Linked DNA regions of Lytechinus pictus. The protein of the gene in region 1 purifies or fractionates together with the protein of each later gene. This does not show direct contact. Links are inferred from orthologs where the notes say so. Each region holds a gene or a part of one and is shown in the gene's direction. Other genes may lie near its edges. The genes, in order: cytosolic iron-sulfur assembly component 2B-like and threonylcarbamoyladenosine tRNA methylthiotransferase-like.

Evidence for each region.
Region 2: the proteins of cytosolic iron-sulfur assembly component 2B-like (region 1) and threonylcarbamoyladenosine tRNA methylthiotransferase-like purify together in Homo sapiens (affinity purification with mass spectrometry; 3 studies listed by BioGRID and IntAct, with this or other methods). This does not show direct contact. The link is inferred for Lytechinus pictus from reciprocal best matches to the Homo sapiens genes CIAO2B and CDKAL1.

What each region holds. Positions count from the first base shown.
Region 1 is NC_087246.1:39,216,024-39,225,545, forward strand, and holds the start of cytosolic iron-sulfur assembly component 2B-like, read left to right. Parts: upstream 1-5,471; 5' UTR 5,472-5,550; coding exon 5,551-5,677; intron 5,678-8,596; coding exon 8,597-8,676; intron 8,677-9,079; coding exon 9,080-9,205; intron 9,206-9,522.
Region 2 is NC_087251.1:22,240,977-22,250,403, reverse strand, and holds the start of threonylcarbamoyladenosine tRNA methylthiotransferase-like, read left to right. Parts: upstream 1-5,553; 5' UTR 5,554-5,731; intron 5,732-5,862; exon of another isoform or gene 5,863-6,126; intron 6,127-6,583; exon of another isoform or gene 6,584-6,666; intron 6,667-7,542; exon of another isoform or gene 7,543-7,709; intron 7,710-8,834; exon of another isoform or gene 8,835-9,046; intron 9,047-9,427. UniProt on the Homo sapiens protein: Catalyzes the methylthiolation of N6-threonylcarbamoyladenosine (t(6)A), leading to the formation of 2-methylthio-N6-threonylcarbamoyladenosine (ms(2)t(6)A) at position 37 in tRNAs that read codons beginning with adenine.

The sequences.
Region 1 (9,522 bases):
ATTGGTTATAGCAGTTACCATCGTAGTTAACTACGATGGTAACGGCTATATATAACCAATCATTATTACCATACTTGTAACTCATGATGAAACGTGCCCCAGTTTATCATGTTTAATACGTTTCCTGTCCCCTCTATTCTCCAGCATTTCTTGCTCTGTTTTTCCATTTAATAATTTTCCCACTCACGTTATTTTGGTGCCGCCTTTCTCCTACATATATTTCCTTCTTCTTTTCCCACTTGTTATCTGTCTCCTGGTTTCCATAAATCTCGTCTTATTTCTCTTCCACCCCTTTGTTCCTACTTCCCACCATTCGTGCTCTCTTACCCCCCCTCTAAATTATCTCTTCATATGTGCCCCTCCATTTCTTTCTCATCTCTTTTCAACCCCCTTCTCATCACTCTTTCTCTCTCTCGATCTCCATCTCATTTGAATTTTGCCAATTCCAAATCCCTTTCATTTTAGCTCTGTACAAATACTATACAAATGAAAGACATGAAGGCATTTTATGGTTAGTTGTGAATTTTATTAATAGCCAAAAAAAATATCACATTATCAGAGGATTTAGCCTTACTTTTTTTCTTAAGCGTATGTTAATACTTTGAATCGAACGAAAAATGTTTTTTGTATGCAGGGGCAGCGATCCTGGGGGGCACAGTTCCCCCTACTTTTTAAAGCACTGAAAAGTGCCTTTAATTTTATGTAAGAAAAATGCCCCCTCACGAACGTGTACTGTGTCCCTTTCACCTGACGAGAACCTGTTTTAGGTGTTACCAAGTGCTCTTCCTTGTATGCAAATTTTTACCAAAAATGCCCCCCGAACGTGTTCTGTGCCCTTTCATCTGAGGGCCCGTTTTAAGTGTTAAAAAGTACCCCCTCGCCTTCTTGTAAGTGCCCTTTCTCTAATAACTGCCCCCTTTTATCCAAGAAAAGTGCTCCTAAAGAATGACGAGTGCCCTTTGAAACAAGAAAACAATAAGGAAATCCTTTGTGCATTAAGTTTAATAATTCATGTGAGTGGGGGTAGATAAGCAGTTTCGTACACTACAGATGGAGGGGGGGGGGGCTTGAAGGACTCTTGCCCCCCCCCCCAAAAAAAAGGGTGAAATATATCATTCTGAATATTTTGTCGAAATCTATCACAAAATTGGATTTTCTTTTTAAAAATGTCAAAATTTTGCTCTCTCGCAACTTCTTTAAAATTTCACATAATACAGCATTTTCCCTGTGCCCCCCCCCACTTTCAACTTCACTTCGCCGCTCCTATTTGTATGTTTATAGCTTTTCCTTTTGCAACCAGTTTTAATGAAAATCGACAGGAAATTTCATACTTCATGAATTTGGGGTTGTGATGATAATTAAAAAAAAAAACCTTTTCCATCTTTATCAAGTGCTTCCTAAGCTAAGTCACTCTTCAATTTGTTGGGTTTCTTGAATGAAAACATCTGTTACACCAGTCCTGCAGATTGAAAAAATAGAGAAAGAAAATCAATGAATTTAAATTAAAATTGTCATGATTTGTAAAACATAAATGTTTGAAGAAAAGTAAGACTATACATACCGGTATATAAATTTCTTCATCACATAACATAGGAAATCTTACTTCTACTAATTATAAACTTGTACTTCTACAAAGCATATCACTTAAACCTGTTCTATGCAGTTTGCATACCACTCTCCATTATAACTACATGTACTATATAAAAAAAATGTCAGAGATTTCCCATAAATATGAATATATGAATTAACATATAAATTATATATAATAGTCAGAATTAAAGATGATGTTTTGTTGCACAGAATATTTTGATCTGCGAATAAAAACGACACCTATCTATAACCTAAAAACAGAATTGAAATGTTTTTTTCAAAGGCAGGTCTATTTGTTGCCTAAAAATATTGTGAAAACCCCCCATTATTAAAAATAATCACTTATTAACTCACTCATATAACTGCTGTAGGTTGTATTTCTCTTTGTGGTCCTATCACTGTTCTATTAGGCCTACTTCACCAATTGTTTATCATCATCAATCACCTCCATGGAAATTGTAAAACTGCATCATCCTATTGGACAAAATGTAAAATAACAAGATTTAAAAAAAATCGTAAATCTACAAATATGAAATATGAATATCACACTAAAGAATGCATGAAATGAATTTTGTAAAATATGAAAAATAAATATTGCTTTGTGTAGTACGGGGTTCTGACAATATCTCATTTCTAGTACTCTTAACACAGAGGCAGCCCAGCAGACATGTTGTCAGGTTGATAACTTACTGGCCAACTCCCAGATTTTAATGACTCAAAGCCTTGTTGCATTCTTTGTAACATTCCATGCAAATTACTTAAGGCACATCAATATTCATATAAATGTAAATCAATATAACAAAGTATAACTGAATATTCAAATATACAAACAAAGGATATATATTGACCATTCAAACTATATGCAAATTATTATTTAAGCTTGAGTGCATCAACTTAACATTATAACCAATCAGAAGGAGAGTGAGAGAGAGAGAGAGGAGTGAAGAAAGCTGTATGAAGGATGGTGGAGTGAATTAATACCAAACAACCTTGTGTACAGAGTGTACAGCAGTTAATGTGTAAGAGAGAGCTATACATGAAGAATAGGAAGTTAGGATGAAAAGGGTGAATATAAATGAGGGATGTTCTATTAGAAAAAGGGGATGATTCCTGGATAAGAGTGGAAAGAAATATAAGTACAAAATCAATCCCTACACTTTGTTTATAAACAAATAGGAAATAAAAAGGCCATTTAATTACTAGTAGATCAAGGACATGACCTTATTTTATAAATTTGTCCAAGGTACATAACTTTTGGCATTGGTTCTATTTTAGACTCGAGAGCCTGTATATTAAGAAGTGTATATTCATTACAGATCCTACCTCTTTGTAGCTCAGATTATTTTTATTTAATGTAAACATGGTTAACATTCAATGCATATGCAATGTATCTGTAATTTTGTATGGGTTAGTTTAAGTTTTATACCTGGATGAGAATCTGCAAAATGATGCATGCACTTATGATCATCATCTTGAACCATATAGGTAGACCTCTACTGTTTTTCTTGTTCTTCAAACTCAACCTGTTTGTGAAAGAGAGAGAACAATAATAAGAAATGATCTTTTTCATGGCCGTATGTATAGGGGGAGGGGTTTGGGTAAGAGCTGAAATCAGAAATGTGAAAACCTTCATCAAAAAGAGAATTGCATGACATCCTTCAATTTTACTTTAGAAAATGCACAAAACGGCCCTAGGTAATATTGGTCGCTTCTGGCCCTCGCTTTCTGAATTTTAGGTTTCTCTAAATTTTTTCACATGTCTGCCCCCCCCCCCCAAAAAAAAAAATCTGGATCTTTTTATTTCCGAATCTTATTTCATTAGACTTTAACATAATTTCATAATCTCATGCACTAGGTCTAGATCTATTTGTAAGAAAGTATAGATCTAGTCCAACGAGACTCAATGCTGTGCGACAGCATTCATGTATCTAAATTAGGTCTAGATCTAGACTAACGATGGACTCTCGATCTATCTAGACCTAGAAAGTAAAGCTTCGGTTCTAAACCCTATATCGGTTTAGAAATTTTTGATGTCTGACTTTGACTTTTATTCCTGGCTAAGACTTCATTGCCATTATTGACCGAGAGTAGATCTAGATCTAGTCCGACTCCTTGGTCCACTGACAGTCATACTCGTACATGTAAATGGAGTCGTTTAGGCCCAGACCTAGATCTAGGCCTAAATTACAGACCTAGATCATAAGCCCTGGGGGCAAGTATCGAGGGTTGGGAAAGTATAAGTTAGACTAGATTTTAATTAGGTAGGCCTAGCTCTTGATAAAATGATAGCATCGATGAATAAATAAAAGTAAAGTAGCCTAGATCTAAGTATAAACATGAAGTAAGTAGGGCCTAGGATTAAGAAGATCTAGGTCATAGATCTATTGATAATAAGACAAACATGCAGAGCAGCATGTTATTTCTAAGACCGAGTCTATAAATTTATGAATAACAATTAACCCAGAGAGCTCCCGCCCGCGCAGCGGGCGGGAGCCCAGAAGCTTACCGTGTATTTTACCATTGTCACCGGACTAGGGTGATTTATGGTCTAAATATTTCTCCAAATGAATTGTGAAAACGGAAAGTATACAATTACCACGATTATATGGATGAAGGTCTAACGAGTGACAGATTCCTGACATCTGGGCACAGTCTGGTACCTCAAAAAAACGAAAAGTTCTCTCCTTCTACCCAGTCTCGATCGGCCATTTTGTTACGATTTTTAACAAAAATGGCCGATCGAGACGGGGTAGAAGGAGAGAACTTTTCGTTTTTTTGAGGTTCCAGACTGTGCCCAGATGTCAGGAATCTGCCACTCGTTAGACCTTCATCCATATAATCGTGGTAATTGTATACTTTCTGTTTTCACAATTCATTTGGAGAAATATTTAGACCATAAATCACCCTAGTCCGGTGACAATGGTAAAATACACGGTAAGCTTCTGGGCTCCCGCCCGCTGCGCGGGCGGGAGCTCTCTGGGTTAAATAACAATAAGAGTTAAAATGGTGGGGGCTAAATGCAGAAGCCTGAAGTTATGCAAAATAAATTTGATATCTGAAAGTGAGGACTGACACAATGTCAATGACAGGCGTATCTTCATCCACACTCCGCTTCACAGTTTATTCCTGACTGAGTCTCGATCTACTGAAGACAGATGCAGATCTCCCTCTAGATCTAACGTTACAGTGTACAAAAAGAAGCCTCATTCTTCTTGTTTTAATCAATCGTGGGTTGGTCCTTGTTGGAGGTGAACCAAACCAGCCCGATTATCTCTCGATTCCCAGCCGGCTAGGAGCCCGTACAAAATACACTGCAAGCAACATACTGGCTGCACTGTGCGACGATGACAATCTAACTTCAATTTCAAAGACCAAATTCTGCTTTCCTTTAACAGAAGAATGATAGCAAACTCTCTAATTTGTTAAAGAAATAACCTAAGATCACAAAATACAGTGTGAAATGTGTAAATAGTCCACTGAATTCATGTGGTTATATCAATTTATACGTACTCACCGGAGTGTTCGTAGGTCCATTTTGTGTGTGGAAAGAAAAGTTTCAGAATGAATAAATTAGATGACGTAATGAGGTCAAATGAATAATTATTTCTGTAACACGATACCACTAGTATCGATGACAAGGAATCGGGGAAATCGCGTATTAATGACGCTCTTAGCCAATGAAAAGGCCGGATTATGAATATCTTCATGCTCATGAATGTCAATGAGGGCTTATTTTTGTCTTCAAATGATCGCGGTAGGCGGAGCCTAATCTCATTTGTTTTGTGCTGAACGCGCACGCAGCTTTCGGTCTAGTAATATATTATAAGGTCTTTGCTCTGTACCGGCCGCGTACGTACCGGCCTGACGTACTACCGCACCACCGGCCGTGCATACCGGGCCGGACGGCGAATATTCGGGTACGTGGGTCGTCGAGGTGTCGTTCCTTCTTCAAACCTTAAGATGTCGGGGCGTGAACAACTGGATAATGTCAACCCCACGATTCATGGAAAGCTTGATAAAAGACACATTCTACCAGCCGAAGAAGATGATGATATCGACGATGCCATCGACACAAGAGAAGTGTTTGATATCCTTTAATTATTTCAATAATATTATGATCAGTAGAGGCGTGGCGCACGGCCAATATTAACCCAGAGAGCTCCCGTCCGCGCGGGCGGGAGCTCTCTGGGTTAGGCCAATATGGGAGACTCTATTACTAGAGAGACAATCTCCCACATTGGAGACTTGCTTTGCAAAGGACAAAAGAAACAACAACAACAAAAGCATAATTTTTTCCACCCAAAATGTTGTCTCACTGAGGTCAGAAGCCCATTTGTTTTGTGTGTGATTGACAACAAATATCCTTATCAAAACAAAAGTAGACGGTGAATTTTTAAAGTAGATGGTGAAAAGGGGTAATTTTTCATGAGGAATCTGCTTATCACATTTTTATTTGCCGCCAAGTTAATCCTTTTGCAGCAAATGTAAACAAAGGAAATTGGACTCCAAAACTGGAGACTGTCTCTGAAATTGGCTGCCCTGAAATTGGATACCCAAATTCTTTACAAAAGTCTCTGATATTATTGGAGATAATCTCCCACATTGGAGACAGTCTCCAATATTGGCTGTGCGCCTCTACTGATGATGGGCATCCATCTAGTCTTGAATTTAAACTTTAAAGGTCAAGTCCACCTCAGAAAAATGTTGATTTGAATCAATAGAGAAAATCAGACAAGCACAATGCTGAAAATTTCATCAAAATCGGATGTAAAATAAGAAAGTTATGACATTTCAAAGTTTTGCTTATTTTTTACCATGTTTACAAAATAGTTAGGCCTAGGCCTATATGAACGAGCCAGTTACATCCAAATGAGAGAGTCGATGTTGTCACTCACTATTTCTTTTGTTTTTTATTGTTTGAATTATACAATATTTCAATTTTTACGAATTTGACGATTAGGACCTTGCCTGAAGCACAAAATGTTAAAATAATGGAATTCCACGTGTTCAGGGAGGAATGAAACTTAATTTCACATGACAATGACGAGAAAATAAAAATATTTCATATAATAAAATACAAAAGAAATAGTGAGTGATGTCATCAGTTCCTCATTTGCATACCGACGGAGATGTGCATATAACTGTTTTGTAAAATGAAGCAAAACTTTAAAATGCCATAACTTTCTTATTTTACCGTGACATCCAATTTTGATGAAATTTTCAGTGTTATGCTTGTTAAATTTTTCTCTTTTTATTCAAATCAAGTTTTTGTTGGGGTGGACATGTCCTTTAAAGAAGAAGAAGATGTTTTATTAATATTTAGACATATATGGTTGTGGATCGTATTACCAAACACTTCATGAATTCAATCATATCAAACACATTATTCTCGTGTAATTCACCGAACTTTTTACCATAAATCACTTGTTCACTGCAACCATCCTGCCTGTGGGGAATCTACAGGTAGAACTATGGTATGCCAATGCTGTACACAGCACACAATTTAAAAAATCATTAAATTTTCACTTTTGTGACCAAAATTACTAATTTCCATACAGTTGCAATTTATTTTTCATTAGTAACCAGGGAATAATTTTTGTATTCACCTGGGGCCTGTTTCTCAACACCTGGACAAGTTAGTCATATCTTTATCCACCAACCACGGAGATAGTTCCAATCTTACTAAACCTGTTTCTCGAAAGGCTTCCTAACTAGAATACCTTGATATCAGATATTCAGATCAGATATTCAAAATTTATTGTCATGCTCAAAATAAAAATTACATTGGCACAAAAATCATATTCCGGCTGTTGGTATACAAAGAACAATATATAACATATAATAAATAATTACAAAAATAATGGCATTAAATAATATACAAAGCAAAAATTACACAAAGACCTAATACTAACCCAGAACAATATGATACCCTGCAAGGGCAGCTGCACTGAAAACTTTACCTGGTGCCGAGGGGGGAAATGCCTCGAGCACGGTGCCAGTCCAACACATCCATGGGCCCCGGTTCGACATTGAAACAATCACAACACATCACACTACTATCGGTAAAAAGAGCAGACGAGACGTAGCCTTAGTCACAAAATAGCATATTTTTCAAAAAGAAAAATTATGACAAAATTGCAAATATTTCGATGAATTGGGAAATACATCTTTTCAAAATAATAGCACATGTAAATTATGCATCATACATATTTAGACCATGAAGGTTGGAGCATTCAATTGCTGAGAAAATTAAATTATGAATAAATAATTTCATGACTAGAAAATCACATGTGGACGTCACTAGCATACCTACGGGGGGGGGGGGCAGAGGGGGCAGTCTGCCCCCCCTGACGAGCTTGAAGACCTTTATTGCCCCCCCCCCCCCTGACGAGCTTGAAGACCCTTTTTTTTTTTTTTTTTTTTTTTTTGCTTGTCAAATTTTTTTCTGGTACGAAATCCTTCATTTGTGATTGAAGACCTTTTTTTTTTTTTTTTTTTGCTTGTCAAATTTTTTGGCGGACGGTTTTGCCCCCCCTGTGAAAAATCCCAGGTACGCCACTGGTGGACGTTGAGATGGGTACCCCTGGGACATCAAATTTTAATAGTTTACGAAAGTAAACCATAACGGTGGTCTTTGTAAAATGATGATAATTATAAGCCCTTCTACGATTCCAAATATCATCAAAAATAAATCTTTGAAACTGAAACATACGATTTGACAAATTCTATGCATAGATTAGAGATCAACATTTTCCTGAGGTGGACTTGACCTTCAAGAACAATTTCAGAGTCAAATTGGCTGATGAGTTAAACCTCTACTTTGAGATATTGATGTCACAATTGGCCATCTGTATTTAAACAACAACTTTAGACCAGAGTTTAAATAAAATCTGACTTCAGAATATGGGCCATTGGGTTTATTTCCTGTTTATTTGTATATTAGAGAAACCTTGAAGAGTACTCAGGTTTTGTGATCTATGTCAAATTTCCTTGACTAGATGTTAACATTTGATCAGAAACATCAATGACCCTGAGCATCCTCTGACATTGGAAGAGTTGAATGTTGTGCAGCAAGCTGAATTAGAGGTATGTCTGAATTCTTTTCTGACTTGTGTTATGATGTCACAACTCACAGTGATTTCATGATTATGTTACGAGTCATGCAGTATGAATTTACAACTTTGTCTAGTTTATTTAGATTATTTGTACTAACTTGTCGTAATTTGCATTTACTCTTTTATAGACTATGATTGGTCCTCATATAATAACCACCTTTCAACCCTCCCTCAGAAATTATCTTTCTGTTTTAACATTTTTTTCAACACCTAATATCCCACTTGCTTTGTATTTCTATGTCAGAATGTTGCCAAGGATTGTTGCACCATGTCTGGATGAGCCTTGATGTGTGTGTATATGTTCAATCATAAAATAATAAAGGTACAGAATGTACAGGTTTGTTCTCTTCTGATCATTTGTTTTTTTTTGTCAGGTTGATGATCCTGGTAATGTAGTGAAAGTGACCTTCACCCCCACCATTCCTCATTGCAGTATGGCTACATTGATTGGACTTGCCATTAGAGTGAAGCTTATCAGGTCATTGCCTTCTAGATTTAAGGTAAGGAAGAACACGTATGGGCTGCGACGCAACAAAATGGTCCTTAGGCCAAAATTTTCAAAATTGACCTTTCAATAGTACTTTGGAGAGTAAATTCTGTAGAATCTGAAAATTTAAACAGTTTTTCCAAATTCCACTATATGTATCTGAATCGATTGATATTGAAAATGCTCGTTTTGGGGTGCACACGTGTTGTGCTAATTTTTGGGCGTAAACATGTTGCATATTGAAAGAAGAAATTGTGCTTCGTCATTTTCGCTAAGATTTCAACTTGACTGGCTGAAATGATCCTTTAAAATCAGAAGACTCTTATATTT
Region 2 (9,427 bases), on another chromosome or scaffold:
AAATTCAGCTTGGTTGCCACCTTGGTAACCTTGAGCAATTTTTATTAGCCTAATTAGCATAATCATCTAATTAGCATATTACGATATGTAATATGCTACTTCTCTTAAACCAGAAAGATTTTTTAAAAAATGTAATTTTACTAAGAGGTCCCGTGACGAGGAATCGATTTAAAGCAATAATTTAAATATTTAAGTTATGCAATTATCGTAATAATCCCAATTAGCATAATGAGCTAATTAGCATTGAAGTGCAATATGTATATTTGTGGATGTCTATCCAAAAAATGCCCAATACGTAGACAATGCATCCCTTTAAGGGTTTTTCTATAGCGAGGAATTCATTTATGACCATATTTTTCAATTTTAACCAATGAAATTGCTGTAATTAACATAATTAGCATAATGCACTAATTAATATATATATATGTATATGTGTAATACATATAAAAATATATATTTCTTTGTCATTTCATATCGAGAATGTCCGCAAACATGATTAATACAGCTACATGTACCCTAAGCTAGTTTTATATGGCGAGGAATTAATTTATGACATTATTTTCCCTTCTTACCAATGTAATTGTCGTAATTAGCATAATTAGCATAATGCGCTAATTACCATATATGTGCAATATATACATTCTTTTGTCATTTTATATCGAAAATGTCCGAATACATGAATAATACAGCTATCCCATGGTTTTCTATGACGAGGAATTAATTTCTGACATTATTTTCCCCCTTTTTACCAATGTAATTGTCGTAATTAGTATAATTAGCATAATGCGCTAATTAACATATATCTGCAATATATATATATATATATATATATATATATTCCTTTGTCATTTTATATTGAGAAAGCCTGAAAACATAAACAATTACAGCTATCCTATGGTTTTCTTTGATGAAGAATTCTTTTGTGACATTATTTTCCCCGTTAAACAAATGTTATTGTGTAATTAGCACAATCAGTATACTGCGCTAATTAACATAATTACCAATATAATTACATATGAATATATATTCCTTTGTCATTTTATATTTTAAAAATGCCCTAAAACATAAATAATACAGCTATTTCATAGTTTTCTATGACGAGGAATTCATTTATGATATCGTATTTCATTTAAACAATGTTAATGTTGTAAAATTAGCTTAATGATTGACATAATGAGCTAATCAAAGTGGATCGCCTCTGGCAGTCTCGCCTGCATTACGCGATTTGATATAGCAGCAGTTTTGACTTTGAAAACAGCTATTGCATAAAATATTCACGTAAGAAGAATTCATATGATGTCCATCGATCCAAAATGGCCTTTGACCATGATCAAGTGACCTAACATGTGTGCAAAACAATCCTTGATTACCCATATGTTTATGTTTCATGAACTAGATCCATAAACTTTCTAAGATATGATGCCAAGTTAAAAAATACCCCCAACATGGCCAAAGTTCATTGACCTTACATTACCTTTGATCTTGGTCATTTAATTGACCTGACATGCGCACAGGATATACAGGGATCGGCCTACATGGTTGCACCAGGACTTCCCTGGTTGCACTTATGTCCAAGTTTCATTAACTACATGTGGATCCATAAACTTTTAAAGTTATGACAATTCCATAAATACCCCCAGCATGGTCAAAGTTCATTGACGCTAAGTGACCTTTGACCTAGGTCATGTGACCTGAAACTAAGACAGGGTATTCAGTATGACTTGATTACCTTTATGTTTAAGTTTAATGAACTAGGTCCATATACTTTCTAGGTTATGACAACATTTTAAAAACTTATCCTTGGTTAAGATTTCGATATGTATTCCCCCAACAAGATCTTAGTTCATTGGCCCTAAATGACCATTGATCTTAGTCATGTGACCTGAAACTAAGGCAAGATGTTCAGTAATACTTGATTACTTTTATGTCCCAGTTTCATGAACTAGGTTCATATACTTTCTAAGTTATGATGACATTGGCATTGCTTATTTTATATATCAATGTTGACGACGCTGCCGTCGCCGCCGCCGTCGGAAAAGCAGCGCCTATATAAATACAGAGACAACGAAATATATGTATTGCACCTGTATTTTAATTACCACTAACCATATGTTAGTGATATATTTTTCATGTTTTTCAGGCGCACTCGATAAAACTAACATAGAACAAATGAAAAAAAATGAAAATCCATAATTTATTGTTCGAAATAGACATGAAATGAAATAGTCCGAAAATTTGCTATGCCCAATTGATCATGGGCCCGGCGGCCGCTGTGCAGCACCAGATTGACGAGGTTCTATCCCTTTAATCATTGAACGTCAAACAGGGTAGCAGCAACTCCCATCTTTAACGTCTTTTGGTCTGACGCGGGCGGGGTTTGAACCCCCGACCTCCCGGTTGTGAGACGGACGCTCTACCAACTGAGCCAACACACCGGTCATAGGAATATATACTTGATATATTGCACATAGATGTTAATTAGTGCATTGAGCCAGTAATTCTGATTAAGGCATTGGTTAAAATGGAAAATTACTGTCATAAATGAATTCATCAACATAGAAAACATTAGAAGAGCTGTATTATTTATGTTTTCAGGCTGTTTAATAGGAAATTTTATCTCCTCTCCAATTAAATGTTGGGTTCTTGGAAGTACCCCCCCCCCCTCAAGCCAAAAAATAGTTTATGCCCCTAAAACCCAGTAGGTACAATACGGTAATATATATAGGCCAATTTCATCCCCTCTCGAATTAAATGTTTGGTTCTTTGAAGTACCCCCCCCCCCTCAAGCCAAAAAATAGTTTATACCCCTAAAACCCAGTAGGTGCAATATATATAGGCCAATTTCATCCCCTCTCCACTCAAATGTAGGGTTCTTGGAAGTACCTCCCCCCTCAAGCCAAAAAATAGTTTATGCCCCTAAAACCCAGTAGGTACAATACGGTAATATATATAGGCCAATTTCATCCCCTCTCCAATTAAATGTAGCGTTCTTGGAAGAATCCCCCCCCCCCCCTCAAGCCAAAAAATAGTTTATGCCCCTAAAACCCAGTAGGTACAATATGGTAATATATATAGGCCAATTTCATCCCCTTTCCAATTAAATGTTGGGTTCTTGGAAGTACCCCCCCCCCCTTCAAATCCCTAAAATAGTTTATGCCCCTAAAACCCAGTAGGTACAATACGGTAATATATATAGGCCAATTTCATCCCCTTTCCAATTAAATGTAGGGTTCTTGGAAGTACCCCCCCCCCCCTCAAGCCAAAAAATAGTTTATGCCCCTAAAACCCAGTAGGTACAATACGGTAATATATATAGGCCAATTTCATCCCCTCTCCAATTAAATGTAGCGTTCTTGGAAGAACCCCCCCCCCCTTCAAGCCAAAAAATAGTTTATGCCCCTAAAACCCAGTAGGTACAATACGGTAATATATATAGGCCAATTTCATCCCCTCTCCAATTAAATGTTTGGTTCTTGGAAGTACCCCCGGCCCCCCTCAAGCCAAAAATAGTTTATGCCCCTAAAACCCAGTAGGTACAATACGGTAATATATATAGGCCAATTTCATCCCCTCTCCAATTGAATGTAGGGTTCTTGGAAGTACCCCCCCCCCCATTCAAGTCCCTAAAATAGTTTATGCCCCTAAAACCCAGTAGGTACAATACGGTAATATATATAGGCCAATTTCATTCCCTCTCCAATTAAATGTAGGGTTCTAGGAAGTACCCCCCCCCTCAGGCCCAGAAAATAGTTCATACCCTTAAAACCCAGTAGGTGCAATATATATATAGGCCAATTTCATCCCCTCTCGAATTAAATGTTTGGTTCTTGGAAGTACCCCCCCCCCTCAAGCAAAAAAATAGTTTATACCCCTAAAACCCAGAAGGTGCAATATATATTGGCCAATTTCATCCCCTCTCCACTCAAATGTAGGGTTCTTGGAAGTACCTTCCCCCCCCCCCCCCCCTCAAGCCAAAAAATAGTTTATGCCCCTAAAACCCAGTAGGTACAATACGGTAATATATATAGGCCAATTTCATCCCCTCTCCAATTAAATGTTTGGTTCTTGGAAGTACCCCCGGCCCCCCTCAAGCCAAAAATAGTTTATGCCCCTAAAACCCAGTAGGTACAATACGGTAATATATATAGGCCAATTTCATCCCCTCTCCAATTGAATGTAGGGTTCTTGGAAGTACCCCCCCCCCCCCCCCATTCAAGTCCCTAAAATAGTTTATGCCCCTAAAACCCAGTAGGTACAATACGGTAATATATATAGGCCAATTTCATTCCCTCTCCAATTAAATGTAGGGTTCTAGGAAGTACCCCCCCCCCCTCAGGCCCAGAAAATAGTTCATACCCTTAAAACCCAGTAGGTGCAATATATATATAGGCCAATTTCATCCCCTCTCGAATTAAATGTTTGGTTCTTGGAAGTACCCCCCCCCCTCAAGCAAAAAAATAGTTTATACCCCTAAAACCCAGAAGGTGCAATATATATTGGCCAATTTCATCCCCTCTCCACTCAAATGTAGGGTTCTTGGAAGTACCTTCCCCCCCCCCTCAAGCCAAAAAATAGTTTATGCCCCTAAAACCCAGTAGGTACAATACGGTAATATATATAGGCCAATTTCATCCCCTCTCCAATTAAATGTAGCGTTCTTGGAAGAACCCCCCCCCCCCTCAAGCCAAAAAATAGTTTATGCCCCTAAAACCCAGTAGGTACAATATGGTAATATATATAGGCCAATTTCATCCCCTTTCCAATTAAATGTTGGGTTCTTGGAAGTACCCCCCCTTCAAATCCCCAAAATAGTTTATGCCCCTAAAACCCAGTAGGTACAATACGGTAATATATATAGGCCAATTTCATCCCCTCTCCAATTTAATGTAGGGTTCTTGGAAGTATACCCCCCCCCCTCAAGCCAAAAAATAGTTTATGCCCCTAAAACCCAGTAGGTACATTACGGGAATATATATAGGCCAATTTTATCCCCTCTCCAATTAAATGTTTGGTTCTTAGAAGTACCCCCCCCCCTCAAGCCAAAAAATAGTTTATGCCCCTAAAACCCAGTAGGTACAATACGGTAATATATATAGGCCAATTTCATCCCCTCTCCAATTAAATGTAGGGTTCTTGGAAGTACCCCCCCCCCCCTCAAGCCAGAAAATAGTTTATGCCCCTAAAACCCAGTAGGTACAATTAGGTAATATAATACAGGCCAATTTGATCCCTCTCCACTGAAATGTAGAGTTCTTGGAAGTACCCCCCCCCCCCTCCTTAAGCCAAAACATAATTTATACCCCTCAAACCCAGTAGGTGCAATATATATAAAGGCCAATTTGATCCCCTTTCCACTAAAATGTAGGGTACTTTGAAGAACCCCCTCCCCCTTTCAAGCCAAATCCCCTCGAATTAAGATGACCTTTGACCTTGTTCAGGTGACCAGCAATAAGTTGATATTAAAAAGTAAAACTCAATTACCCTTACATTGAAATTTCTTGGGGAAAATACAATTATTTGTTAAAATTTTCACCCTAAATGACCTTTGACCTTGATCATGTGACCTTCTACTCGGTCAGTGAAACTTGATTGCCCTAATGCCAAAGTTTCAAGAAAAGATCCAGCTATAACATGCGAGACAAAAATGATGAAAACAGCTCAATCATATTTGAATATTTGCCCTTTTAGCCGTCCATACTATGCTGGGATGATTTGCTGAAGTTAGAGGCCGGTAATGTATACAGATATTTTACGCCCCTAAAACCCAGGATTACCTTAATATAATGATCACCAAAGTGTCTGTTTGTATGAATAAAAAATATGTGCCAAAGGATTCTGGAAGAAATTGTGTAATTAATTGCTGAGAAATATGCGCGGATTCTGTCACTTCCGTCGGCGTCGGGTCTTTATTCCAGCAATAATAATACACTGTCCCATGTGTGCCTATCTGTGTTGGTGATATTCAGTGTGAACGTTTTTGTCTCGCCTGCATAGCCCACTCTAGGCGACACCCCAATACTTACCCGCGTTAATAAACTGGGACTCCACTCACGCGCATTTGGGCCGCCCTAGCTTAGAACTAAGCAATATTATCTAGAAATTGTTAAACTCTAGTCATAAAATACGGTATGTTCTATTAAATAAATTGATAATGTTTAATCGGTACTCACCGGTTCTTTTGTTGCATTTTCAGACCATTTCTCACAATTCTTCGTAAATATTTGCGGCAAATTTTGTCGCCATAGACGGCTATACGTCCATCTTTATTAATAAATGGAGCGCCCTTTACGATAGTTGTTAATGCCGCGGAGAAATCGTTAGGCATTTTGGCCTGTGTTCAAGGCGTTCTTTCTGTTTTATTTTTTATATTGAAGATTGTGCATTTGTTGAATAGTACCGTCTACGTCAGGTATGAGATCGAGTGTATAAATACACTCTTCCAAAATAATTATGATTCCGACCTGGCCCTGTTTAACTTCAATCTCTTTCACCTAAATTAGCGATGAATGCTAGCATTATAAAATATATATTATTAACGTCTGACAAAAAGAATAATCAACCGATCAGCTGACGAGAACGCGAATCACGTGATCTTCATATCAGCTTCGATCGCGAGTCAGAAGTGAAGAGCAACTGCCCAGAAAATCAGGAAAAAGCCGTGAAAATGTAAGTTCCCCTTCATTTCTTTCATTTTTTGTTGTTGCTAACGATGCATTTACACTATAAAATTATAATTTAAATAAGAGAAAGGAATATAGCTTGTACTTGTGATATAATATAGAAATATCCTGTTCTCAGAGATTTCTAACCAAAAATACTAGTGATGTCGCCTATGAGGTCCATACATGTAATGTTTGGACCTCATTGTTACTAGGAGTGGCATAGCCATAGCAGAGCGAGACTATAGCCTTATAATGAGTTATAGGCGCCGCTTTTCCGACGGCGGCGTCAACATCAAATCTTAACCTAACTAAGGTTAAGTTTTTGAAATGATATCATAACTTAGAAAGTATATGGACCTAGTTCATGAAACTTGGACATAAGGTATGAAGTATACCCAGTTGTTGTGTGTCCGGACAGGTTGTGTGTCCGGACGATCAATTTTAGAAAGTCATTTGGAAAAATTTACAAGCGAAGTTTCATAAATTTTTAGTACAAAATGTTAGGAAATATTATAAAGAACAAAATAGAAGATGATTACAAGTATTGAATTCATATTTTTAGTGTAATCCAAATACAAAAAAGAAGGCTTCAAAATATTAAAGTGTCCGGACACCCGACCCCCCATCCTACTATTACTAAACATCCTGCCTGAGTTTCAGGTCACATGACTAAGGTCAAAGGTCATTTAGGGTCAATGAACTTAGACCATGTATGTTGGGAGAATTATTTTCAAAATCTATTCTTAACCGAAGGTTAAGTTTTTGAAATGACATCATAACTTAGAAAAAGTATATGGACCTAGTCCATGAAACTTGGACATTAGGTTAATCAAGTACCACTGAATATCCTGTGCAAGTTTCAGGTCACATGACCATGGTCAATGGTCATTTAAGGTGAATGAACTTTGGCTGTGTTGGGGGTCTTTGTTAAATTACCATCCTAACTCTGAAGGTTTATGGATCTAGTTCATAAAACTTGGACATAAGAGTAATCGAGTATCACTGAACATCCTGTACGAGTTTCAGGTCACATGACCATGGTCAAAGGTCAGTTAAGGTCAATGAACTTTGGCCGTGTTGGGGGTATTTGTTGAATTACCATCCTAACTATGAAGTTTATGGATCTATTTCATAAAACTTGGGATATAAGATTAATCAAGTATCACTGAACATCCCCTGTGAGTTTCAGGTCACAAAACCAAGGTCAAAGGTCAGTTAAGGTCAATAAACTTAGGCCATGTTGGGGTAATTGTTGAATTGCCAATCATTAACTTTGAAAGTTTATGGATAGAGTGAATGAAATGTGGACATGGGTGTAGTTGACAAGTCTTAAGTCACCGTTCAAATGTCATCTATGGTCAATGAATGTGGTATTATGTCATTATATGAATGGTGTTTTTGTGAATGATTATTTTATAGTAGTTTTCAAAGTTAGCACTGCTGCTATATTAAATCGCGTAATGCAGGCGAGACTGCCAGAGGCGTTCCACTTGTTTAGCTTAGATATTATGATTTCACAAAGTTCAGTTTATGTAACTGTACCAGATCTAGATCCACGATGATATAGTAATACTGAACCTTGGTTTTACAGACTTTCTCACAAAATCAGTATTTTACTGCAACTACTGTCATTTATTTAGCTTTATTTAAAGACGTTGTGTCGAGGTCCCCGGGGCAACGGTACCGTAAGCATGGTACCTAACCCAGGGAGCTCCCTGGGTTACGGCCCGCGGAGCCCGGGACTCGTCCGTGTAATACGAGGCAGACATGGGTATTCTCCAAAATGGGTTAGAATGGGGTCGCAATAGCACTCCAAATAGAAGGTGAAAAAATTAATTATGTACTTACCTCAGGTCTATCTTGACACAAAATCCTGACATAGAGGCACAAACTGAACCCTCAAAAATAAAAGGAAAAGTTAGAGTCCATGTCGCGTTCTCGGTGACGGTATCGATCTATCTACCTCGAGCGAAGTTCGTGCAGACTCCACTTCACAACCACTACACTACGCTCCACCTATCCGAAATTCGAGGCCGTAAACTCGATCTGATACTCCGAGTGACAAAGGTGGGATTTTATGGGAGGAAAATATAAAATTTATGCAACATCACGATCTTTAAAAACAATTAAAATTAATATTCTTACTTTACACAAAGTTTTACTTCTTTCCTAGACAGGAATAACCGTCGTTTCTGGGGATTTATTCAACAATTTCTGATATTTTACGATCATCCCCATTCACCGACGGTAGTGTGTTAGTGCGAGCCTGCATGAAAGAAGGAGAACGAAGAGACAGAACTTTTCCTCTTTTTTTGAGGGTCCAGTTTGTGCCTCAATGTCAAGATTTTGTGTCATGATAGACCTTCATCCATATTATAATTGAGGTAAGTGCATGATTTATTTGTTCCCCTTGTTTTTTTTTGGGTGCTATTGCGACCCCATTCTACCCCATTTTGGAGAGTGCCCTCTGCCTAATGTTACACGGACGAGTCCTGGGTTAATTTTAGCCAGGTAGGGCTGCCAACTCTCGAAGACAGTCATTTTTTTTTTTTTTGACTCATGAGACTCGTGAGAGTGAGACTCCCTCATTTGGTTTTTCTCCATTTGCATGCATTTCTATCAATCTCAACCTGCCTACTCTTGCCTCAACTGCTCAAGACGCCAAGTCCTGAAACTTCCATCCTACTTCAAAGTGGTCAAGGGGTTGGTTTCTGCCCTTCCTGTTGATAAATTTCTAATTAAAGCAAGACCTAAATCAGTAAATG